Linked DNA regions of Danio rerio. The protein of the gene in region 3 purifies or fractionates together with the protein of the main gene of each other region. This does not show direct contact. Links are inferred from orthologs where the notes say so. Each region holds a gene or a part of one and is shown on either strand. Other genes may lie near its edges. The genes, in order: pfdn5, pfdn6, mapk7, vbp1, pfdn4 and pfdn1.

The links.
Region 1: the proteins of mapk7 (region 3) and pfdn5 purify together in Homo sapiens (affinity purification with mass spectrometry; 3 studies listed by BioGRID and IntAct, with this or other methods). This does not show direct contact. The link is inferred for Danio rerio from reciprocal best matches to the Homo sapiens genes MAPK7 and PFDN5.
Region 2: the proteins of mapk7 (region 3) and pfdn6 purify together in Homo sapiens (affinity purification with mass spectrometry; 3 studies listed by BioGRID and IntAct, with this or other methods). This does not show direct contact. The link is inferred for Danio rerio from reciprocal best matches to the Homo sapiens genes MAPK7 and PFDN6.
Region 4: the proteins of mapk7 (region 3) and vbp1 purify together in Homo sapiens (affinity purification with mass spectrometry; 3 studies listed by BioGRID and IntAct, with this or other methods). This does not show direct contact. The link is inferred for Danio rerio from reciprocal best matches to the Homo sapiens genes MAPK7 and VBP1.
Region 5: the proteins of mapk7 (region 3) and pfdn4 purify together in Homo sapiens (affinity purification with mass spectrometry; 3 studies listed by BioGRID and IntAct, with this or other methods). This does not show direct contact. The link is inferred for Danio rerio from reciprocal best matches to the Homo sapiens genes MAPK7 and PFDN4.
Region 6: the proteins of mapk7 (region 3) and pfdn1 purify together in Homo sapiens (affinity purification with mass spectrometry; 3 studies listed by BioGRID and IntAct, with this or other methods). This does not show direct contact. The link is inferred for Danio rerio from reciprocal best matches to the Homo sapiens genes MAPK7 and PFDN1.

The regions. Positions count from the first base shown.
Region 1 is NC_133181.1:42,215,187-42,219,331, reverse strand, and holds the start of pfdn5 (prefoldin subunit 5), read left to right. Parts: upstream 1-1,345; 5' UTR 1,346-1,351; coding exon 1,352-1,417; intron 1,418-2,455; coding exon 2,456-2,558; intron 2,559-2,634; coding exon 2,635-2,666; intron 2,667-2,798; coding exon 2,799-2,873; intron 2,874-2,957; coding exon 2,958-3,063; intron 3,064-4,145. UniProt on the Homo sapiens protein: Binds specifically to cytosolic chaperonin (c-CPN) and transfers target proteins to it. Binds to nascent polypeptide chain and promotes folding in an environment in which there are many competing pathways for nonnative proteins.
Region 2 is NC_133189.1:35,060,256-35,064,431, forward strand, and holds the start of pfdn6 (prefoldin subunit 6), read right to left. Parts: upstream 2,801-4,176; 5' UTR 2,765-2,800; coding exon 2,701-2,764; intron 1-2,700. UniProt on the Homo sapiens protein: Binds specifically to cytosolic chaperonin (c-CPN) and transfers target proteins to it. Binds to nascent polypeptide chain and promotes folding in an environment in which there are many competing pathways for nonnative proteins.
Region 3 is NC_133187.1:4,710,395-4,714,475, forward strand, and holds the start of mapk7 (mitogen-activated protein kinase 7), read left to right. Parts: upstream 1-1,281; coding exon 1,282-1,588; intron 1,589-2,130; coding exon 2,131-2,296; intron 2,297-2,372; coding exon 2,373-3,210; coding exon of another isoform or gene 3,211-3,387; coding exon 3,388-3,778; intron 3,779-4,081. UniProt on the Homo sapiens protein: Plays a role in various cellular processes such as proliferation, differentiation and cell survival. The upstream activator of MAPK7 is the MAPK kinase MAP2K5.
Region 4 is NC_133182.1:23,876,034-23,880,132, forward strand, and holds the start of vbp1 (prefoldin subunit 3), read right to left. Parts: upstream 2,801-4,099; 5' UTR 2,777-2,800; coding exon 2,696-2,776; intron 2,433-2,695; coding exon 2,308-2,432; intron 1,881-2,307; coding exon 1,814-1,880; intron 1,086-1,813; coding exon 987-1,085; intron 1-986. UniProt on the Homo sapiens protein: Binds specifically to cytosolic chaperonin (c-CPN) and transfers target proteins to it. Binds to nascent polypeptide chain and promotes folding in an environment in which there are many competing pathways for nonnative proteins.
Region 5 is NC_133198.1:41,423,389-41,427,634, forward strand, and holds the start of pfdn4 (prefoldin subunit 4), read right to left. Parts: upstream 2,801-4,246; 5' UTR 2,535-2,800; coding exon 2,508-2,534; exon of another isoform or gene 2,504-2,507; intron 545-2,503; coding exon 437-544; intron 362-436; coding exon 221-361; exon of another isoform or gene 1-220. UniProt on the Homo sapiens protein: Binds specifically to cytosolic chaperonin (c-CPN) and transfers target proteins to it. Binds to nascent polypeptide chain and promotes folding in an environment in which there are many competing pathways for nonnative proteins.
Region 6 is NC_133196.1:32,808,144-32,811,643, forward strand, and holds part of pfdn1 (prefoldin subunit 1), read right to left. Parts: coding exon 3,387-3,500; intron 3,308-3,386; coding exon 3,223-3,307; intron 1-3,222. UniProt on the Homo sapiens protein: Binds specifically to cytosolic chaperonin (c-CPN) and transfers target proteins to it. Binds to nascent polypeptide chain and promotes folding in an environment in which there are many competing pathways for nonnative proteins.

The DNA.
Region 1 (4,145 bases), on a different chromosome or scaffold from region 3:
TTAGTAGTTTTGATCGGGACTGAGGTTGATTAACAGATTTATGGGAAAACATATTTATCTGATGCATTTTTACAGCAGTTTAAATTAGTGGAGGTTTTCATCCCAAACATAACAAAAGGGTAGCAAAATTGCCCAGAGTGTATCGTTAAGTTCTTTAAAAATGTCAAAGCATTTTCCAAAAACGTGTCAAAATTAAATTTGTCGCCAAAGTCGTTCTGCTAGTTGAAACAGAAAAAGTTGACCAAATGAAGACACAAAATCACCCCAGAGTGGATGAAAACACCCTCAACAGCACACAGGGGTTAACTGAAATGAGGGATGTGCTAGTAAAGGAGTACACATGGAGGAAAAACATGAATTGGTCATCTGTCACTGCAGACTGATGGATAAACCGACAGGCAACAAGGACTGTAAACACTGAAATCGGTGTTCCCATAAGTCTTCAAAATGTCAGGGACAGCGTTTTCAGAGACGTACAAATATCTGACGTACCTGATCTGATGTGATTCTTATGTGCTGAACGGCCAGGTTTAATGGTGAATCTGAAAAAATGAAATATTAATTTAAACAAGTGTTACGGACTTCCTGTCATGAGTTAGTGTTTCAGATGAGATTTTCTGCTTTTGTAAAATACACACTACTCCTGTTGGAGAAAACTCAGGACAATACCAAACACATAAAGGCAAACACACACATACACACACAAACATTAATGAATGCCCATGAGCTTTATAAGGATTTGAGCTGTGTACATTTTCTTCACTTTTTAACTGGTGTGTATTTTTAGTGTTCAATGTCTACTGAAATACAAACCTATTCTAATACTTAACAATGAGGCTTAAAATAGTTGAAATTTGTGCACCACATGCATTGACAATGAATAGTTTGTTAATTGATTAATAAGGATTTACTCATGTTTACATACTAATCAAATACATTCCCTACTGAAAAATCAGTTGACCAGCCTGGTTTTAGAGGGGTTTTGGCCATTTCCAGGCTAGTTTCCAGCCATTTCCAGCCTGGTCTTAGCTGGTCAGGCTGGAAAATGACCAGCCAAATCCAACTAAAACCAGCTTGCCCAGCCTGGTTTAAGCTGGATATAGCTGGTTTTGGCTGGACTCCCAGCTTGGCTAGGCTGGTCAAGCTGGTTTTAGCTGGTCATCTCCCTTTTTTTTTAAGGTAATGTTAATACATGCTGTATAAATGCACTGTTAGTTTATTTAGTCGACGTTTTATTTGTTAAAGTATAACAAATGACTGTAGTGTGTAATGGAAAAAAATCAATGGTAAAAGTCCTTTTAGTTGCGTCCGCTTGACCCGGAAGTTTTCCTCACCCTCTTTTATTGTCAACATGGCGGTGAATCTCACTGAATTGTCTCTTCCACAATTAGAAGGCTTGAAAACTCAGCTTGATCAGGTAAATTGTGTTAAAAATAAAAAACATCATCGTTTCGTATGTCCGAGTAGCATCAGGTGCTGCTGTTTTTCTGTCAGTGAATTAATTTACTGACGGGCTGCGGTTGTCATGCTGTCTGTGCGCGTGCTGCTGCTGCTGGTAATGCGGAAAAAAAGCCCTCTATGATTGTCCACATGGCTGCATTTATTCCGTATGACAGAAAATGAGATGCAGAATGACTTTATCGACGTTCACTTGCATTGTATGTGAATGGTGTCTCAGTCAGTTCTCACTAAACACAACTTGGTTTTATTTTAACGAGTTCACAGTTTGAAATATATTTTGGTACCAAGTCTATAATCTGTATAAGATTAATTTAAAAGACTAATTTTGTTTTTCTGTGAGTAAACTTTTGAAGTTTACATGTGTCCTGATTATCTGTTTTATTTTGACCGTCATATTTATTTTACTGTATTTTACAGAAGACCCCAACAAAAATGTCATAACAATAGTTTATATATATTAAAAATTCTGGGCAGCCATATTTTTAGACCAAGATTATTTTGATGGCATTTAACTATTTAAAGGTTGAACTGTAGCTCCCAAATTCTAATTATTTTTCTTTTTTTAAACATGCATAATTTGTCACTATCCTTCAAACCCTTTATTTTACTAATTTTTACTTTTAAGGTTTAAAACCTTGACTATTCCAAACCTTGCCGGTTTACCTTGCAAACAGTTATCGCCCCATACCTAGTACAGAATAAGTACTATGTTTTTCCCATTTTTAAATAAATATATATGTTGCTCTGAATTACCCTGACATTATTTCCTAAATTATTATTATTGTTAATTATTTGATAGATTTTCACTCATTTTTTGATTTTATTTTTACAAAAGTTATTTGAAACATTTAAGTTAACACTTTGCTTGCGTTCAGTGTGCTTTCTGTGAATATAAATGCAATAATGTTAATTTACTTTGAGACACCAAAAAGGGACATCTCAAGGTAGATTTACACGTTATTTTGTATAAATTGCTTAAAAATGTGTTTTCTAGGAAACAGAGTTCCTGTCATCGTCTATAGCTCAGCTGAAAGTCGTCCAAACAAAATATGTGGAGGCCAAAGACAGTTTGAATGTGCTTAACAAGAGCAATGAAGGTGACTTTTAAAACTCTTTTATGACGTTTTTAGCTAAATCTGACGTTTGCTAATTTTTTTTTACTTTTTCTCTCAGGTAAAGAACTACTCGTCCCTCTCACCAGTTCTGTATCCTCTAAACAGCTGAGTTATAAATGAGTTCTGATTGATTTATGCCACATAAGAAAGTCACACAGACAGTTTGATGTGTGTGTAATTAATTTGCAGTGGTCCGTTATTCCCTTAACCTCAGTCATGTAGATGTATGTACCTGGAAAGCTGCATGATGTGGATCATGTGTTAGTGGATGTGGGAACAGGTTATTTTGTGGAGAAGGTGAGTAAGAATCAGTCTAGTAGTTTTAGTATATGTAAAAATGTCAAAACTGAGTAAATCACATTGCCTTTTCTGTCTTTTCAGAATGTAGAGGACGGCAAAGAGTTCTTTAAACGCAAAATCGACTTCCTTACTAAACAAATTGAAAAGATTCAGCCTGCTCTTCAAGAAAAATATGCCATGAAACAAGGTGATTTTCTTGTCTTTTGAAAAACATGTTTCTTATGTTCACCATAGCTGATAAAAATACAGTACATTTTTATTGTATTTCTTTTTTCACTATTTTCAAGTAAGCCTGTCACAATAATCAATATAACGACTGAGCGTACAACACATGGACATGACCTCAATCATTTTTGGTGATGCAATATAAATCACACATACATAAAGACCAATTCTGGCAATATTTTAGGTGTTTGTGCAACATCTCTATCTATTGGAGATGTCAGTATGGTTAAAAATCACAATTTTATTTACTATAGATTACTGTCGTATATTTTCATGTGGGTGTCTAACAACTGAAAATAGATCTGGGGTCCGTTCTTCGTACCTCGCTTAAATGATATAAGATGATTTGGCAGATCCTGGATCTTTTCATCTTGATAACTGATCTCTGGCTAATTTGGTTCTTCAAACAAGTTTGCGAATCCGATTAGAATGTCTGGATAAACTGATCTGAGATCGCTGCATGTGTTGTGAAGGACAGATCCATCGATCCTCGAAATCATGATCAGCAATGCAACGATTGGCTGACGGCACAGCAGCGTAATGACATCATCTGAATAATATTCAATTATCCATGTGAGCAAAATTACATCAAACAAGCAGTAAACGGTTTGTTGTGAGCTGCAGGCTTAACACTTTCATGTGTCAAGAGTATTCATTATGTATTTTAAAGCATATCAATGTATTTAGTTCTACATTTAGAGAAGATTTTCTTTATTATAGTAGCTTAGGCCTACTCAAGTTTTTTTTAATTGGAGTAAGGAATAACTGTATGAATTAATTTTCCATCAAAAAAGCATTTTGATAAAGGTGAAGGTGTCTGCAACTTTTGTGAAGCAACATATCACCGGCATATTGGCGATCACAACATGTGCATGACTGCATAAATCAGTATCCTTTTTTTAAAAAAGTTGAATATTGTGCATTTGCATTGTATTTAAAAAGTTCATATCAATACATTTTCTCTTTGAACCACCAGGTGGCAGTCTTTGTACTTATTTCGGAGTGCAGATTGCATAAGTTTTATTTATCTATATATTTCTTAAA
Region 2 (4,176 bases), on a different chromosome or scaffold from region 3:
TCATTTTTACACTATATCTCACACTTTTTGGATAATGTTTTCTGAAAAATATGAATACATGATATGTCTGTTATTTTAAAAAGAAATCAAACACATTAAAGTGAAAGTTTACACAAGTACAATACACTGGTCTGTTTTATAATATGTAGTAATATTATAATTTTGCCTTTCATTAAATATTTTAATTTTAAAATATTTGAGCAATCATGAGACATTAAAATCAAAGCAATTACATATTTTCTATTATCAATAAAATCTATTTTTAATTTAAAATCTAAAGCTTATAATAAGCTACAGTATTATCATTACTGGGCAGCATGGTGGCGCAGTGGGCAGCGCAGTCGCCTCACAGCAAGAAAGTCGCTGATTCAAGCCTCGGCTGGGTCAGTAGGTGAACTGGGTGAGCTAAATTGTTTGTAATGTATGTGTGTGAATGATTGTGTATAGTTTACTAGTGATGGGTTACAGATAGAAGGGCATTCGCTGTGTAAAACGTGCTGGATAAGTTAGCGGTTCATTCCGCTATGGCAACCCCAAATTAATAAAGGGACTAAGCCGAAAAAAATGATGAATGATTTATCATTACTGAAAGTTTTAAAGGTTGATATTGTTTTTATTTCATTCATTTTCTTGTGGGCTTAGTCCCTTTATTCATCCAGGGTCGCCACAGCGGAATGAACCGCCAACTTACCCAGCAAGTTTTTACGCAGCAGATGCCCTTCCAGCCGCAACCCATCTCGGGGAAATGTTTATATTTAATGTTATTTTATTTATATATATTTAATATATATATATATATATATATATATATATATATATATATATATATATATATATATATATATATATATTATCACTAAATTAAATAAAAACAACATCAACATCAACATCAAAGTATGTTGTATACTGTAAACTCGCAGACTTTTTTCGTCACATCCATAACACATGTTTATTTATTTATTTAAAATGTATTTAATTTTTTAAAAATTTACAGATTGATTTTTTCTGCTCCCATGACTCTGTGGTTGGTAGCTTCTCTGGGAATTCATGTTTTGAAATGTGTGTATATGTATGTATATGTATGTATGTATGTATGCATGCATGCATGCATGCATGCATGCATGTATGTATATATATATATATATATATATATATATATATATATATATATATATATATATATATATATACATACACACACACATACATACATACATATATACATACATACATATATACATACATACATATATATATGCATTATTTGGTATATGTTTTTTGAACAATCATGATTTATAAAATCTCAAATTAATTATATTTATTCTAATTTAGTTAAAACTTTTTATTTATTCAAAGATATGTTGCAGGAAATGTGCAAGTGTACACTGGTATAACTTGGCTATATGAATATTCATAATGGTGTTACTATAAATACCAAGAAACTTACACAATGAATCATAAAATAAAATAAAATAGTAAAAGCCTTTTTAAAACGTTCAATAATGAGAATTTGTAGATTGAATGTGGATTTTGTCTAAAATAGCTCTGGGTAGCTAAATCAAGTCCAAATACAACATAACCGTGACATTTGTACTTTATCAGTGCATTGCACTACATAGATATTAAACCTGAATACAACAAATTACTACAAATACGTTAAATATAAATTATTAAAGGAGCACACACATACATATATACACACACATACATACATACATATATACATACATACATATATATATGCATTATTTGGTATATGTTTTTTGAACAATCATGATTTATAAAATCTCAAATTAATTATATTTATTCTAATTTAGTTAAAACTTTTTATTTATTCAAAGATATGTTGCAGGAAATGTGCAAGTGTACACTGGTATAACTTGGCTATATGAATATTCATAATGGTGTTACTATAAATACCAAGAAACTTACACAATGAATCATAAAATAAAATAAAATAGTAAAAGCCTTTTTAAAACGTTCAATAATGAGAATTTGTAGATTGAATGTGGATTTTGTCTAAAATAGCTCTGGGTAGCTAAATCAAGTCCAAATACAACATAACCGTGACATTTGTACTTTATCAGTGCATTGCACTACATAGATATTAAACCTGAATACAACAAATTACTACAAATACGTTAAATATAAATTATTAAAGGAGCCGAACATAAAGATGATTGAGGTAAAGTTGGTTTTATATTCGCACATTCGTTCAGTGAAAACTTGTGACATCCCTACATTGTTTACCATGGTGATTTTGATAGTCAATGGCTGCTAATATGATTTTACCATTTAGAATTGACAAAAATACTTTAATAAGATTTTTAGAGAGAAAGCCAATTTACACAATGAGGTAAAGTTGGTTTTATATTTACACATTCAGACTTTCTCCTATTAAAAATTCCGAAAAGTATTCTGTAGTTAGCAAATCCTAAATAGTGAAACCATATTAGCAGACGATGGCTATCAAATTACACCATTATTCAGTCAAATAAATAGTGATAACGTTAATGTAGTCTTATTTACATGTGATTTCAGACCGAATATTCAAAGTACCATGGTAAACAATATAGGGAGCATGCCACACATTGTCACTGAACGAATGTGCGAATATAAAACCAACTTTGCCTCAATATAAAGATGCCCATGCAGGGAGTGTTGGATTGCTAACTCTGAGCTTTTCGTGCTGTAAGTTACCTTTCTGGAGTTGTTGATATTTCTCCAACTCAGCTTGCAATTTCTTCTGAATCGCTTCAGCCATCACACCTGCTATTCCAATGTCTGACTTATTATTATTGCTAAATAATAAAAATCACGATATTTTATGACAAATGCAGACAGTCAGCAGCACACTACTCAAGCACACAGTCTGAGGCGCACGGGAAATGACGTCATATCATTGCGTCACATGGGGGTTTTACGATAGCTGATAAAAAGAGTTACTTCGCCATCTAGTGTTTAAGAAAAACATACACAATTTTTTTCAGTATTATGTTTATTCACACACCTTTAAATAATTTGCTCTATAATTTTACGCACCATATGTAGATTTAACGCATCAGTTAATGTGATTTTTGGATTAATACGATGGGTACAATTTTTCCAGTATCTAAAAGCGTAGTGCCTCTCCTGTCCATGTGGTGTCAGTCTATCCTCTTCCTCCAAGCCCTCTGTAGTGACAGTCAAGGCAATATGGCAGCGCGCATGGTTCAAATTCTAACGTGAAGGTCTTTTTTCGGGTGTGCGCGACCACATAGAATCACAACAGCAGGTAAAGTCAGTTATATATTTTTTCTATAACACAAGCAAATGTAATGACTGTTCTAAATCTGCACCTTAAGCAGCGTTTTAAACATATGTAGGGTAAAATAGTATCATGTGCTATATTCATCTATTACGAGAATGAACCATGGTTTAAAGAGTTAAGTGTAATCATACTTTTTTTGTCGTATCGATTGTTATTTATAACCACAGTATTACTGAAAGTACTACAGTTTAGCTGGGGTTAGTGTAACAAAACCATGTTGATTTGAGGTTACCATGGTTAGTTTTTGTGGTAAAACCATGGTTAATTTTCGTAATAGATGTCATGATGTTTTAACTTTATCGATATTTGCTAGTAACGTTATTCTTCTTCTTGTGATTCTTCAAAACTTTTTTTATTTTTTTCAATAAAAAAATCAAATTTTCTAAGATGACAAACAAACAAACAACCATTAACCACCATTTAACCATAGTATCTGTGGTAAACCTGTAACGTTAGTTACACTAATAATATGTCTGTCAAAACACGCGCACACACACACTTCCCTTGGTTCAATTTCATAAGGGCAGGAATGAAATAATAGAATAAAACATAAATAATTCATAAATTCTATTGTTTTGTCAGGCAGTCATTTTGAGTGTGGCTATTTTTGCTTTTTTCTATAATGAACCTGATATCTTTGCTGTGAGTTGAATGTGTATTATGAAATGTGTTCATGGTTTTAGAGTTATGACAGAGGTTGTCACTTTGTAAAATTCATATAAAACATTTGTATGATGATTAGTCCTCTGAACCTGCAATTTTAGTTGAAGAAATCACTTTTTTTGGACACTTTAATCTCAGTTGTTTTGATTATGCTTGTTACTTGTGGGAGCGACACAGTAGTTTGTGTCGACACACCAATGTTT
Region 3 (4,081 bases):
AAAAAAAACATTTATAATAGTTTGGAGCAGTAAACGTGTCAGGCTGAATAATTTAAATGAGTCATTGACTTTTGCTGTCTTCATTAGTTTATATAACTCAGATTTCTTACCAATTTAAAACAGCATCTTTGGGGATTTTTCTGCTAATAATGCTGTTGTCCTAAAAAAAAAAGAAAAAACGTGAAAAAAAGACATAAATAAAAAAATCTGTATAGCAAAAATATTGGCAATTTTAAAACCTTGAGTTTTCCAAACCGCAGTATACCTTGACAATGATTATCATCCCATGCCTAATTTAGACCTATACTTAACAAACACTTGAGATATTTATCTTACTTTTCCATGCATATACAGTACAGTTTAGGCATGAACCGGTATACGATTCTGACTGTATAATAACCTTCGAAAAAGTTATCGCAGTCTCATGGTTTGGCATGGGTTGATATAAGATTCTGACAGTATAATAATAATCTTCATTAAAAATATCGCAGTTGTACCATTAGGCATGGTCCGGTGGAAAATTGTGACGGTATGATCAAGGTTACACAGTTGCACGGTAAAGTGATTACTGCTCTAAAATATGTTCTTTTTAAATATCTGGGTAAAAAAAACAATAACTTTTTCCCCCATTGAACACAATAAATTTTTTTTAAAAAAAAAACATTTTAAATATTTTGGAAGAGTAGCTTTTGATGTGGAGGGTCCTTTTCTGCTGGAGATACTGTTGCACTAAAAAAACTAAATAGAATTCTTGCAAAAAAACAAACAATAAAAAAAAGACTATTTTTTTTAAGACCATAGGATCGGTATAACAGAAAATTCTGGTGATTTAAAAACTTGACTTTTCTAAACTGTGGTAATGCTTGAAACTGGTTATCATTCCATGCATATTCACGGCATTTTGATTACTGCTCTAAAATATGTTCTTTTTAAATGTCTGGGTAAGAACTAATTTTGTCCCCTATTGAACACAATATGTTTTACTTTAAAAAAGATTTAAAATATTTTGAAACAGTAAACGTGTCAGGCTTAATAATTAAAATAAATCATTGACTTTTTTTCAATTGAACAAGGTGGAGGCGTTGGCATAATATATAGCTATATTTTTAGTCACTCAGCTTCAAATATAATTCATTTGAAGTAATAGTGTTTTATAACTCAGTGTTCATCAATAAAGTAATTATTTCAAAGCTGTATGATGATTTTTTACAAGCACTGTATACGTGTTTTTAATGTCTCTTCCCTCATGCCAGTCACAACTTACTTTTCTTTTATTTCAGGATGGCATCCAATAAGATGGATGAGACAAATAACAGTCACACAGCAGGAGAAGCCTCAGAAGGCGACAGCAGGAGAGAGAGCAACATTGAAAAGGTCCAGCAAAGAGGCGTTACAGAAGGACCAGCTCAACCCAGCAATGATACGTCCACAGTTACTGATGACACTACTGTCGCAGACAAGAACTTGGCCCTGCTCAAAGCCCACTCCCTGGATGTGAAGTTTGAAGTCGGGGATGAATATGACATTATTGAGACCATTGGTACAGGTGCATATGGTGTGGTCTCATCAGCACGAAGACGGGATAATGGTGAGTGTGCCAAGATACTTCCACAATATTATTATTATTATTTTTATTATTATTATTATCACCATCTTCAATGTATTTAGTATTCAGTATTATTGAAAGATGAAACATTTGCAGTCTATTAAAAAGTATATGTACAGTAGTCAGCATAATGGAGTACACCCCATTTTAAAAATAAGTATTTTTATCCATTTCTGTGTGAATATAGGCAATGTATTTTGGTGCATTTAAACAAAACAGATATATATATATATATATATATATATATATATATATATATATATATATATATATATATATATATATATAATATATATATATATATATATATATATATATATATTTTTTTTTTTAATAAGATTTTCACCAAACACATTTAGAAGTTGAAAGATATTACAATTAAATTGAAGCAAAATTTTCCAAAAAAAAAAAAAAAAATAACCATCAATAGGAATAAAAAAGTAGTTGTGAGTTCTTAAAGTTGTAAAGTTTGATTTCTTTATGCTTGATTCCTAATTCAAACACATTATTGTTCATGCATTCAGGCCAGCAGGTGGCAATAAAGAAGATCCCCAATGCCTTTGAGGTTGTGACGAATGCCAAACGCACGCTGCGAGAGCTCAAAATACTGAAGCACTTCAAACACGACAACATCATCGCCATTAAAGATATTCTCCAGCCCGTGGTCCCTCATTCAGCGTTCAAATCAGTGTAAGTTTGCTACCAAGTAGCATGCATGTACTCTATACAAGTTGTCCATGCAGTAATACCATCTCTTGTTCCTTAGGTACGTGGTTCTTGACCTCATGGAGAGCGACCTACATCAGATCATTCACTCGCGGCAGCCTTTGACTCCAGAACACACACGCTACTTTCTATATCAGCTGTTAAGAGGCTTGAAATACATTCATTCAGCCAACGTCATTCACCGCGACCTCAAGCCATCCAACCTGCTGGTCAATGAAAACTGCGAGCTAAAGATCGGGGACTTCGGAATGGCACGGGGATTAAGTGCGGTCTACTCTGAAGAGTCGCGGTCCTTTATGACCGAGTACGTGGCCACCCGCTGGTATCGTGCTCCTGAGCTCATGCTGTCGCTCCACCACTACAGCCTGGCCATCGACCTCTGGTCCGTAGGCTGCATCTTCGGTGAGATGCTCGGTAGGAGGCAGATGTTTCCGGGGAAAAACTACGTGCATCAGTTGCAGCTGATTCTTTCAGTTTTAGGGACGCCACCCGAAAGCATTGTTGGCTCAATTGGGTCAGATAGGGTGCGCTCTTATGTGCGGAGCCTTCCATCCAAAGCACCAGAACCGCTTGCAGCCCTGTATCCACAAGCTGAGCCCAGCGCCTTGAACTTGTTGGCTGCAATGCTCCGCTTTGACCCTCGTGAAAGAATCAGTGCATGTCAAGCACTGGAACACCCGTATCTCTCCAAGTACCACGACCCAGATGACGAACCGGTGTGCGTGCCTGCTTTCAATTTTGAGTTCGACCGGCAGCCCATGGGCAAAGAGCAAATCAAAGAAGCGATACTAACAGAGATCCAGGACTTTCATAAGAAAAAGCAGGGCGTGAGGAAGAAGATCCAGTTTAAGCCGCTCCATTCTTCTGGATCGGCCTTGGTCGGTGTTTCTAGTAACAGCCATTGCACAGCGCAACAGTCTCAACACCTGAAGGAGATGTCACAAACTCACCAGCAGCACAGTCTCAACTTCAAACCAGCAGACACTACTCAAATGAATGTAAACTCGTTTCAAACTCCACATCTTATTGGTCAAATTTTGCCACATTTGGAACAGTCGGTAAGCTGTCAGGATGTGGACATGCCCAGTGCGAACTCTGACGGCCAGCCGGAAACCATTGATCTGACCACTCCCACAGACAAGGACACGTCTTTTACTGAGCCTGCGATAGACTGCAGGAAGGATAAGAGTGTGTTATCCAATTACACTGCTCCATCTCGATCCGTCTCTCAGACTCCACCCACAAGTCTTCCACAGTCAGTCCCTTCACTCTCTCTCTCACAGTCCCAGGTGCAGTCGCTCTCTCAAAATCTCTCTCGTTCGCTTGGAAAAGGAGGAAAACCGACTGCTGCGGAAGGTACGAAAAAAGAGGGAGCAATATCTGAAGACACAAAAGCAGCTCTCAAAGCTGCCTTGCAGAAATCTGCGCTAAGACAGAAGGCACGAGGTAAGTGTGTATGTGGCCAGTCTTCAAAAATTAAACTATTAAAGCTGATTTATACTTCTGTGTCAAGTGATTGGCGTGACCCACGGCACCTGCCTTGTGCGTAGTCGTGCCTTTATACTTCTGCGTGCTGTTTGTGTTGCTCTGCTATAACACTTCTGAAACACTAGCTGGACGCTACCTTAATGTACAAGTAGGTAAAACTAGCTTATTCAGAGGTGGAAACCGGCGGGCGTGAAACAACTTTAATCATAAGGTAAACACAAAACAATAGTTTCCATCTAGAGCAGGGGTCACTCGCCTTGT
Region 4 (4,099 bases), on a different chromosome or scaffold from region 3:
TTTGTTTGATCCTTTGTTTGAATTTGCTACTTTATTATATTATTTTTATTAGTGTAAATATTTCTCTTTTTTGTATATATTTGGGCATTTTTCTGGTTTCACTTTTGTAGATTAAATCACTTTAGTTGGCAGTTCTGTTGCTTACACCCTCACATTGTGAGGTTTTGTGTAAGTTGTGAAACAGTTACGATAGATAGACGTGTGCTTTGTCTACGACACAAATTCCATTCCAGTACTCCACTGGAAAACCAAAATGTTCCCACACAGATGACTTAAATGTGTCTGGGGGATCTGGAATCTCAGTACTGTGTGAAGCAGCCATCCTGCATACAGTAGTAACTGAGTGTGATGCTTTCTTAAGTCACATCACATGACATGCACTTGGAAAATACTAACTTAAGAATATAATATTTAAAACAAAAGCTCATCATTACTAAAACAATTTAATCAAATGTGATAAATATGTTTAAATTGGTTCAATTAGTTAGAGACAAGTGATGTCAACCTCAACAATGGGCAGCAGGGGGCATAAGAATATCGCGGTATGCCACGAGTTTCAAGATACGTATCGTGGTTGGTGTATTGTGATATTTCGGGTCGGTTTTAATATCGTTACATCCCTACTGACAATATCTGGAATAAACATTATAAAATTCTAGTAATTTTAAGACATGTGGGAACCCGGTACGCTACAAGTGATGAAGAGGTTTCATGAGTTCATAAGCAGTACAAAAGAGCAAAACAAAGGCAATGATCGTCAACACTTTCACACATGCTTTTTAAAGCAGTTGTTTTAGTCAACACAACAAGGATTTCACAGCTCATAATGTAATGCAGTGACACAGGGTAGTAAAAAAACAAAAATCAGTACCACACTTGGTCTTATAATAAACCATTAAATTAAAAGATAATTATCTTGATAGATAATAATTATTTTGATTTCATGCTCACATCAAATGCATCAGGACTCAACATTCAACACTTACCCCAAGCCACAAGCACACTTTATCTGTAGGTGGAACAGAGGCCTTGCAGTAGACGTTATCAGCCAACAGAAAATGTGTCTCCATGGGATCTGTGGTGTCCTTTGATTTGATATGCATAAATAAAAATAAATAAAGAGGAATTCTGGTGAAGCAGAACAATACACTTGCTGCATCTCAAAAATTTATCATTTAAAATGTAATTTTAGGGCGAATTTCATAACTATCTTACTGTATTGTAATAATTTGTTTTTGATTATAATATTAAAAAACCTCTGTTAATATTATAATATTAAAAAACAAAATCACCTTAATTATGCTTATATGATTTATTGTATTAAGATCATTTGTTTACAAAGATGAAAAATAAAATATTGAAATGTTCATTTTTCCCCTCAATTACACAGCCCTAGAAGCAAAAGAGCACAAAAAGATCTATAACATGTATAGAGAAAAAGACTGACTTTAAATGACAGGCTGATTGACAGGCCAGTTTATGATGAATAGACACATTTATGTGTATGTTAAAGACACAATTATGACACGTGATCTAATATGTGACTGCTCTTCTGCAACACACTACAAAAAAAATATTTATATACATTTATTAAAAAAAGTATATATATAAATATATATATATATATATATATATATATATATATATATATATATACTTCTCACAAGGAGTACATGAAAGAAATCCTAAAAGCAGTAAATAACTTTGAGAAATCATTTTAAGTAATTTTAGACTGAACTTTGATTTGTTTCTGTGAAGCAATTTTGAGACAAATTTTCTTTTTAAATCACCATTAATTAAGAAATGAGCTTACCTTCTTTTTCTGCATGTGCCGTAGGATTTCTAATGTCTGTTTGATTTGTGGAATTTGGCTTTTCAACCTGAAACAGAGGGAAAAAATGTCAACAATTATAGTCTGCAAAAACAACTTGTAGCCACATATACGCATGCTATCCAGAGCACTTTACAGTAAGGTTTTATTAGTTAATGCATATACTAACATAAACAAACAATGAAACATACATTTATGACAGTATTAGATGTTCGTTAACAGTAGTTCATGAAAATACAGTTGTTCATTGTTAGTTCATGTTAACTCACGATACATTAACTAATATTAAGCATAAATTTGGATGTTATTGATGCATTAGTACATTTATGTAGAACTATGATCAATAAATGCTGTGCAAGTGTTGTTAATCATTGGTTGTGTCAGTAAATACATTACCCAATGAAATCTTATTGTAATTTGTGACTGAAAGATTGACTTCTTTTTACAGCACAACGTAGAACAGATCAAAACCAAACCTGAGTTTCTTCTGCCCCAGATTGAGCTCCATGTATTTATATTTCTGATATTGTTCATCCAGCTTCCTCAGCACGGCGTCTGCTGTGTCATTGCCCGGCTGCTTCATGAAGGCGTCCACATCTTCCTACAGAACACACAATGTGTTTCACATCTGGTTAATTAAGGCTTATAATTAACAAAGCGGTTTTTGAGAGCCAGTTATTCACATGTTCTCTGTCACTCAAAGCTCACATTCAAGACATGAGCAAGCAATCCCTGCACCCTTATAAGGAGAAGAACAAGGCGCTTTCTTACTTAAAGCCGTTTAAAGACGAACAAACCAACACAGACAGAAACATGTCGACAGCATGGACATGAAAATTAACTATATATCCCTTTCGCACTGACCACAAATATTGCTTCAGGGATTCCGAGGTGTTTTTTCTTATTTGCAGCTCCTGCATTGCCACTTTCTATGGTCGTCGCCATTTTGGAGAGACTTACGACTCTTCCTCTTTGACGCACGCGCACGCTGTTCTTACGCACGGGCGCCGCGTGCATAATAAAAGTGACTTTCTTCTTCTTATAACAATGAGCAGGTGATGATTTCATCTGGCCATTTTGTCATTAATTTCTTTTTATATCATATTTAAATTCAAATGTAGTCCATCTGTCTTTGTTAACGTATGTTTTTTAATAATATCCGACATTTATCAAACCGACCGGCAGATGTCAGTGTTGCCTGATTGACATGAGAAATAGCACGAGGCGCTGGCCGTGACGACAGCAGTTGGTGGCAAGCCAGAGGTTTGATCCAATACATTTGCGGTGATATGAAAAAACAGATAAATACATTGGCTCTTAGTCTTCAGTTTGATTTTTCATAATATTATTATTGAGTCTGTCTGTTCTGCTTACTAATGTTACTGTCAGCTTCAGTACAGGCTTTCTTTGTCTGCATGTGGATCTTTAGGTGAAAGTAAGTAGCAGGGCAAGAATAGCACCTTATTAGATGTGTTTTATTAAATAGGCCTATATATGCACTTATATCACACATACAGTGTCACATTATAATTCATATTTAAAAATGATTGTAAATAAAAGCAGAAGAGAAACAAATATAAAACAGATTAAGGCAAGGGCGACACGGTGGCTCAGTGGTTAGCACTGTTGTCTAAGAGCAAGAAGGTCACTGGTTCGAAATTCCGGCTGGGATTTCTGTGTGGAGTTTGCATGTTCTGCCTGTGTTTGTGTGGGTTTCCTCCGGGTGCTCCGGTTTCCCCCAAACAGTCCAAAGACATGTGCTAAGTGAATTGAATAAACTAAATTGGCCGTAGTGTATGTGTGTGAATGAATGTGTATGGATGTTTCCCAGTTGCCTACTGGGTTGCAGCTGGAAGGGCATCCGCTGTGTGAATTATATGCTGGATAAGTTGGCTGTTCATTCTGCTGTGGTGACCACTGATGGATTTAAGGACTAAGCTAAGAAAATTAGTCAGTGAATGAATGAGCCTAAGTCAAAAATGCAGTATATTTAGGGTAAATTGCATTAAAGAATGTGGAAACTAGCCAAAATACATGCAGATTAATTAAACAGAAGCACATTCCACCCTCTTTAGAATAGAGGGTGAAACCAGCTTATTTTAAAAAGATAATAATTCATATTTTTATTGGTAATTTTCAGTTTCTTACAGTAAAACAAAATATGTGAATACTGAAATGTGCAGCATATACTTTGGTTTGTGTTTATGTGTGTGTGTGTGTGTGTGTGTTATTTTTTTAAAAAACAAGTCAAAAGAATACTCCAATGTT
Region 5 (4,246 bases), on a different chromosome or scaffold from region 3:
TGTCCACTTATAATCGTACTAACGCATTTTAACGAATGTAAACAAAGCGCCTGTGTTTAAACCTAACAATTTATTGTAACTTTTTTGACCTAGATTTGCAACTTTTTTTTTCAAGTCAAAAGCGTTTTAAATTTTTGTAATGGCCCACAATGACATTCCACAGTTTTTCCTGTATATTGTATTGAGTGCCCTATAAAGTGTGTAAAAAAAATAAAGTCACCTTTGCTGCCTCCAGCATCTCCTGCGTCTCTTCTTGCGAGTGACTGATAAACACGTCTCCAATCTGATACGGGATCAGCATCGAATCATCCTCACACATCATGAGGTCATCACTGGCATCCTCTAAGTTCTGTAAAGATTTCTACGCACAATAAAGATTATGCGTCAGTAAAATGCAGCTTATATCCTGTATAAATCAAAAGCATCACAATATTACCTTTTTGGCCTCGATTTCATCTTTCAGTTCAGACATCCGATTTGTGTTCCTGGCAAACTTGTTTATCTTTTGCTGGTCCTCAAATGTTACATTGACATCCTCTGCTGCCTGTTCAGAATCAGAATCAGAGCTTTATTGCCAGGTATGTTCATACATGCGAGGAGTTTATTTTCGTGACAGAAGCTTTTACAGTGCAACAGAATGAGAGAGACAGGACAAAAAACAGATAATAAATATATTTTAAAAATAGAAGTAAACTCAAGTTATGATTCAAGCAGTAGTTTTGATTAAACATTGTGCATTACTTATTATGGTTTGATTTAATTTAAATTAATTCTGGTGTTATTGCATGATGACGTAGTAAAATCTCTGTTAAATGTCAATGTACGATCTTTGGCCCCACATATTACCCAGTGTGCAAGAAGTCTCGGTGTTATGTTTGATGAAAATTTTAAATTAAAGAAAATTTAAGAATTAAAAAGAGATCAGTCCTGTCGTAAAAACCTGATTTTACCACCTTAACAACTGTCTAAAATGAAGCCATTATTATCTCAGAGAAATTTTCAAACAATGATCCATGCCTTCATAACACTGGATTACTGTAACTCACTCTATTTTGGTATTTCTCAGTCTTCTCTCTCTTGTCTGCAGCTGGTACAAAATGCAGCTGCTAGACTAATCTCTGGCACCCGCAAGTATGAGTCGGTAACTCCGATTTTAGCTGCACTTCACTAGTTACCCATTAAATACAGAATTGATTTTAAAATTTTATTATTTGTTTACAAAGCTGTCAATAGTCTTGCTCCTCAGTACCTTACAGACTTGCTCCATCCGTATACCTCCTCTCGATCATTGAGATCTTATGATCTCAATTAACTTACGTAACCAGAACATGCCTTAAAAAACAAGGTGATTGAACATTTGCAGTTGCTGGTTCTAAACTCTGGAACACCCCACCAATTCACATTAGACTTTCCCCCTCTATTTCTGTGTTTAAGTCTGTTTTGAACACCTATTTTCTCTCGCTTTAATACTCCTTGATCAATGTTTTATTGTTTTATTTTCTAAATGCTTCTTTTATATTCTGATTTCGTCTCTGTGTTTAGTACTCCTATGTACAGCCCTTGGGTCCACCTTGGTTGTTTTTAAATGTGCTTTATAAAGATGCGAACATTAAAAATGACAGGATACTCAAAAATGCTTTTCAAAAATGTAGTTGCTATGTTAACCAACACAGGCATCAGAAATCTTCATTTAAATAGGAATTCATGTCATTGTTTTGACTCCTTTACACATTTTTATAAGCGTTTCACAAGCTCTCAAATTATGAAGTTACCATCACATGGACACACACAAACACTCAGCATTGTTTTGGATGTTCGGTAAGCTCTGTCAAAAAATATGCCTTGCTAAATATGCATATTATTTGCATTTCTTTGTATCTTTAGATTTACTTTTAAAATTTTACAATATAAATGCTAAGCAAATCATAAATCTTTGATTTGAATCCTGTCATCTTGACTCTTTGTGGTTTAGACTCGATGTGATTTACACAAATATAAGTTTGCTTAGCATTTTATACATTTAAAAAAAGCTTTTTTATGTAAACTAAACTCTATATAAAAGAACAAAATAAACAACCCAATATACAAGTTGTTAATCTGGTCAATCTATAAGAAATATTTAAGAATGACAATACAATTATGTGATTTAAAACCACCTAAATTTAAATGTAGATAGATAGATAGATAGATAGATAGATAGATAGATAGATAGATAGATAGATAGATAGATAGATAGATAGATAGATAGATAGATAGATAGATAGATTGGTGCAGAACGATGAACGTAAATGTAAATAATTACAATAAAACTCATTAACAGACAGGCACGAATAATATGACGTTAGCCATCCAAGCCGGTGAAAATAAACAATAAACCGTCCTCAGTTTCCCTCAGCTGTCTCTTTCGTTTAATATTTTAGATATTTCAGCATCACCAACGCGTTTCTCAGGGATGAGCAACAAAACAACGTGAATGTAGACAGAAAGCCGATAATGGGAACACATACCACTCCTTTCTTCATGGTGGCTGCCATCTTGAACGGGAAGCGAGCTGCGTGCACGCGCCTGAACGGCGTCTGAATGGAGCACGTGGATGTTTGAGTGTTTGTTGCGTGTTTCGGTTGCTGCTTCGAAAATATGGTACGTTTGACAAAGAAATTATGAAGTTTTATGTTTGAATCTAAATTACTGGCTTAACTAAATGCGTTTTGAAGTCGGTTTTCTTAAAATTATCCGCTGTTGCAAGGATTTTGGGCTGCAGCCATACAGACTTGAGGATTTTAGTTAGCAACACTTACTGACATCTTCTGGACAACCGTAGATTTACTCCCACACAAACATACTTTTGATGATTTAAATGTCGAATTCGCATGTTATATCATATATATGGGTGTTTACATTGGAAATGGAAGTGTAAAATGCGTTTTTTCCTTATTTTGTTTCGTTTTCTATTAAATATATAATATTAACATTAAAGTATGTTTAATATAGATAACGTTAGCTGTTTACTTAAGAAACAACGTTGTCTTGGCAATAAGTCTTTGAGAAGCTTTTCTTGGAAGAAAAATCTAAATGAAGCGAGTTTTTAGTTAAAAGCAAAAATAACTAATAGTTGTCTCTAAAGCAATGGATGGCCAAACTTTTCGTATAAAGGGCCAAAAATCAAATACCGTCACGCGCCATGAATATGTATGAACAAATATACCAAACTATATTACATTTAAATTGACTTGGATAATTAATTTCCTAATTCATTTTATAATATTTTAAAATAAATAGAAAACATCACTTTAAATCCTATTAACTAATGCAGAATAACATTTTAATTGATAATTTATTGCAATAAAAATTAACAATCTCTTTAGAAGTTCAATGCTGAATACTCTAGTCACTAGTCTTTGACTTGATTTGCTCACCTAAGTCTCTACATTATCAGATGACAATGTGTACATTTAAACAAAATCTGATTTAATTTACACAATTTAATTGAAACACTTAATTTCAATTAGCTTTTAACAATAAAAACTAGCAAAGGGCTACATTAAATTTAAACTGACAACCTCAAAACCATCCCCATCATTCTCCATCTCTTCTCAGATGGGATGACGGGACAAATCAAAGCTTAACATGTTCTAACTTTGGCCCACATTCCCTAGTTTTTGCATCTCTGCTATAAAGTAAATAATTATCCTAATTCTTATTTGAAATAACTATAATTTTAAAGGCTAGGTTATTTTTTGAAACTTAAACTCACAAAATTTTTAAACAGTACACGGCCAACTTAATAACAAACTATGCAATTGAGGAATATTTAATAGCCTATTTATAAAGGAATTATGAGAAATCATGGGTTGAATTAAAATGTACTTTTTTGTCCCTTTATATCTAGATTTATCCATGTCTAAGAACAAATAAATTTTTATACAGTTGAGATCAGAATTATTAGCCCCCCTTTGATTTTTTTTTATTTTTATTTTTTTTTTATTTTCCAAATGATGTTTAACAGAGCAAAGAAATTTTCACAGTATGTCTGATAATATTTTTTCTTCTGGAGAAAGTCTTATTTGTTTTATTTTGACTAGAATAAAAGCAGTTTTAAGTTTTTAAGCACCATTTTAAGGATACAATTATTATCCCCTTTTGGTTATTTTTTCCGATAGTCTACACAGAACAAACCATCATTTTACAATAGCCTAGCCATCATTTGCCTAATTGCCCTAGCCTGCTTAGTTAACCTAATTAACCT
Region 6 (3,500 bases), on a different chromosome or scaffold from region 3:
TACATTTTATGCACTTTATACGTTTTCTGAATTTCTGAAGTCCCCACCCCACACTCTTATTTGTCTGACAATCCCATTTCAGGTCTCACTAAAGCCGAGTTTATGATGTAAATTTGGCCATTATTTGGTCATCTGAGTCAAACTTTGGAAAAGATTTCTATAATAGATCTTAGTTAAAATCTGTCACCTTTGATTGCCATTGTTAGAACTTTATGAGTTAGAAAAGTAATGCATTACAGTAACTAAATACTTTTTGCTGTAACAAAGTATAGTGTAAAAGGGGGTCCAGACACTCCACACACCCTCTTTACATTGTATTCTTTAAAAAAAAAAAAAAAAACAAAACATTGTTAAGAAATACAAAAAAGAAAAGAAGGCAAAATTTTGACGCTGATGAGCGTACTCTCATAGATGACAATGTTTACTATTCTAAAAGACGTGGTGTGGAATTTTGCATCCAGTGTGCGATGAGCTTAAATAAATAATCATTTTACAATAATAGGGTGGACTGGTTGTCTCAAAGTTTGCATTGAAAGGGTGGGTATCTAGATGATGACAGCTATAGGACTGGCAAAAGATCCTTTCTGTGATATGATTATCAATAAAGTTGAATTTGTTCTAAATGTTTAGATTATATGATGACCATAGGGTTAAGTAAAATTTTATAAACTAATTTTGACAGGAGCACGTGATATGATTGATCGCGGCTGGTCTCTCGTCCGTAAGCAGCGATAATCTAATCATATCGATCCAAGTCTACAATAAATAGACTGATTTCACCTTACTTGCCCTATCTTTGTTATGGAAGAATCACCCCTTCCGCCCCATCTCCTCCTTTTCCTCTGTTTACCAGGGGGAGCTCTTGAGATCTAACTAATCTTGGACTCCATTTATGCTAAATGACAAGGCAGGAGCCATGCTCAATCATCTCCAAGCTCAGGGTTTTCTCCCAGGATAGGATGCCAAACTTGCAAAAAGCGTCAAGCAATATGAGTATAAACTCTGAAAACTGAAGTAAAACTGGAATGATATGGGTCTCGTTGTTATTTCTGTATGCCAAGTTATGCGTTTTCCTCAGGAACTTCAGGCTCATTCATTACGACCTCTCATATGAAACTGGATTTTGATGAAAACAAAAACCTGTCAAATCTTTTGAGATTCTATTGTATGAGAGAGACTTTCTTTGTATTAGTTAGCTGCCAGTATAAAGATGTTTATTGTACCATTCTGATAAGATACAAGACATCCTTGAAGTCTATAAGCATTCTTTGTGTGTGTGTGTGTGTGTGTGTGTGTGTGTGTGTGTGTGTGTTCTTCATCGGAGGAGACTTCTTTGCTTGTCGCCAAAGTAATCATTGGTGATTTTGTTTAGAATTTTACGCACACATGTTGAGATTGTCTAAGTCTATCTGTGTTCTAACCAATCAGGTTAAACCTCCTATATGTGTGACGCAGCTTGTGATATTACATTAGAGTATAATTGCTGTGATTTTGATACTGCGTGGCGTACAAACTATGTGCTTATTTCCTGCTTTATCAGGGGTCGCCACTGAATGAACTGCAGTTACTCTGGCATTTGTTTTACCTGCCGATGCCCATCCCCAACCCTCAGCGCTGGGAAACACTTACACACTCTCTTATTTACACTCTATGGCCATTTTAGTGTATTCAGTTCACCTATACAGCACGCTTAGGACTGTGGAGGAAACCCAAGCAGACACGGAGAGCACATGCAAACAGAAACACCTTCAGGGCTCGAACCAACAACCATCTTGCTGAGACCACCGTGCCCCCCCCAACCCACAGTTTTATTGTTAAAAGAAAAAAACCTTTTGCATCCACACTAATGCATGATAATGTTCTGTTTATCATTAGCATTTAATTATTTAATGCTTTTCATTAGCATTTTCCTAGCTGATGGATACTAAAAACACTACAATCCATTCAGAATTTTAAGATGATAAAAGAAGGAAAATTCTGGCATCATCTACTCACTTTCAATTTTTTTTTAATCTCTTTTTCTTGATGAACACAAAAGACTAGAAAAACCAGAAGCTTCTATATACTTATATATAAATATATATATATATATATATATATATATATATATATATATATATATATATATATATATATATATATATATATATATATATATATATACTCACCGGCCACTTTAATAGGTACACTTATCCAACTGTTCGTTATCACAAGTTTTTCTAATCAGCCTGCAGCAGTTCAAACCAAGCATCAAAATGGGGACGAAAGGTGATTTAAATTACTTGAACGTGGCATGGTTGTTGGTGCCAGACGTGCTGGTCTGAGTATTTCAGAAACCTAATCTACTGAGCATTCCACAAACAACCATCTCTATTGTTTATAAAGAATGGTCCGAAAAAGAGAAAATATCCAGTGAGCGGCAGTTCTGTGGGCGCAAATGTAGATTAGAAAAATGTTGCCTGGTCTGATGAGTCTCGATTTTCACTGCAACACTTGGATGGTAGGGTCAGAATTTGGCATCAAAAACATAAAAGCATGGATCTATTTTTCCTTGTATCAACAGTTCAGGCTGGTGGTGGTGGTGTAATGTTGTGGGGGATATTTTCTCCGCACACTTTGGGCCCATTAGTACCAATTGAGCATCATGTCAACACCACAGCCTGACCGAGTATTGTTGCTGACCATGTCCATCCCTTTATGACTTCAGTGTACCAATCTTCTGATGGCTACTGCCAGCAGGATAACATGCCATGTCAAATGAATCATCTCAGACTGGTTTCTTGAACATGACAATGAGTTCACTTTACTCAGATGGCCACAGTCCCCCAATCTTAATCCAACAGAGCACCTTTGGTGGCACGGGAAATTGGTATCATGGATAAGCAACCGACAAATCTGCAGCAACTGTATAATGCTATCATGTCAGTATATAAACCAAAACCTCTGAGAAATTTTCCAGTATCTTGTTGAATCTATGCCCTGGAGGATTAAAGCAGTTCTGAAGGCAAAAGGGGTTCCAACCCGATAGTTGTAAGGTGTACCTTATAAAGTGGCCGCCGAGTGTATATCTTATTTAATTATGACTTTCATAGATTTTTTTTAACAGCAAGTAAAAAATGTTAAAATAAGGTGACCTATCCTTTGTATTTTGATAAGCAGTTCTTTGTCGGACAAGTAGATTTAATATAAGCAACTATATTTGTTTTTTTGCTCATAACCTACCTCAAGCTCTTTTATCTTGTCATCTGCCGTCTTCTGCTTTTCCAAAAGCTGATTAGAGATCTCACCTTTTGACTGCAAAATAAACCTGAATAAAGGAAGGAAGAGAAGGTCAAAACAACAGAGAGTAAAGGGTCCAGATTTGAAACCTCCAGAATTATACATACATCCGTCCTGCTCCCTCAAACATCCGAGTGCTTTCAGGAAGTGATGTAATCTCTCCATGCGTGAGATTTGCGTGCTTCTTTACACGACTCAGCTGTTCGATCTGCAGGTCTGCC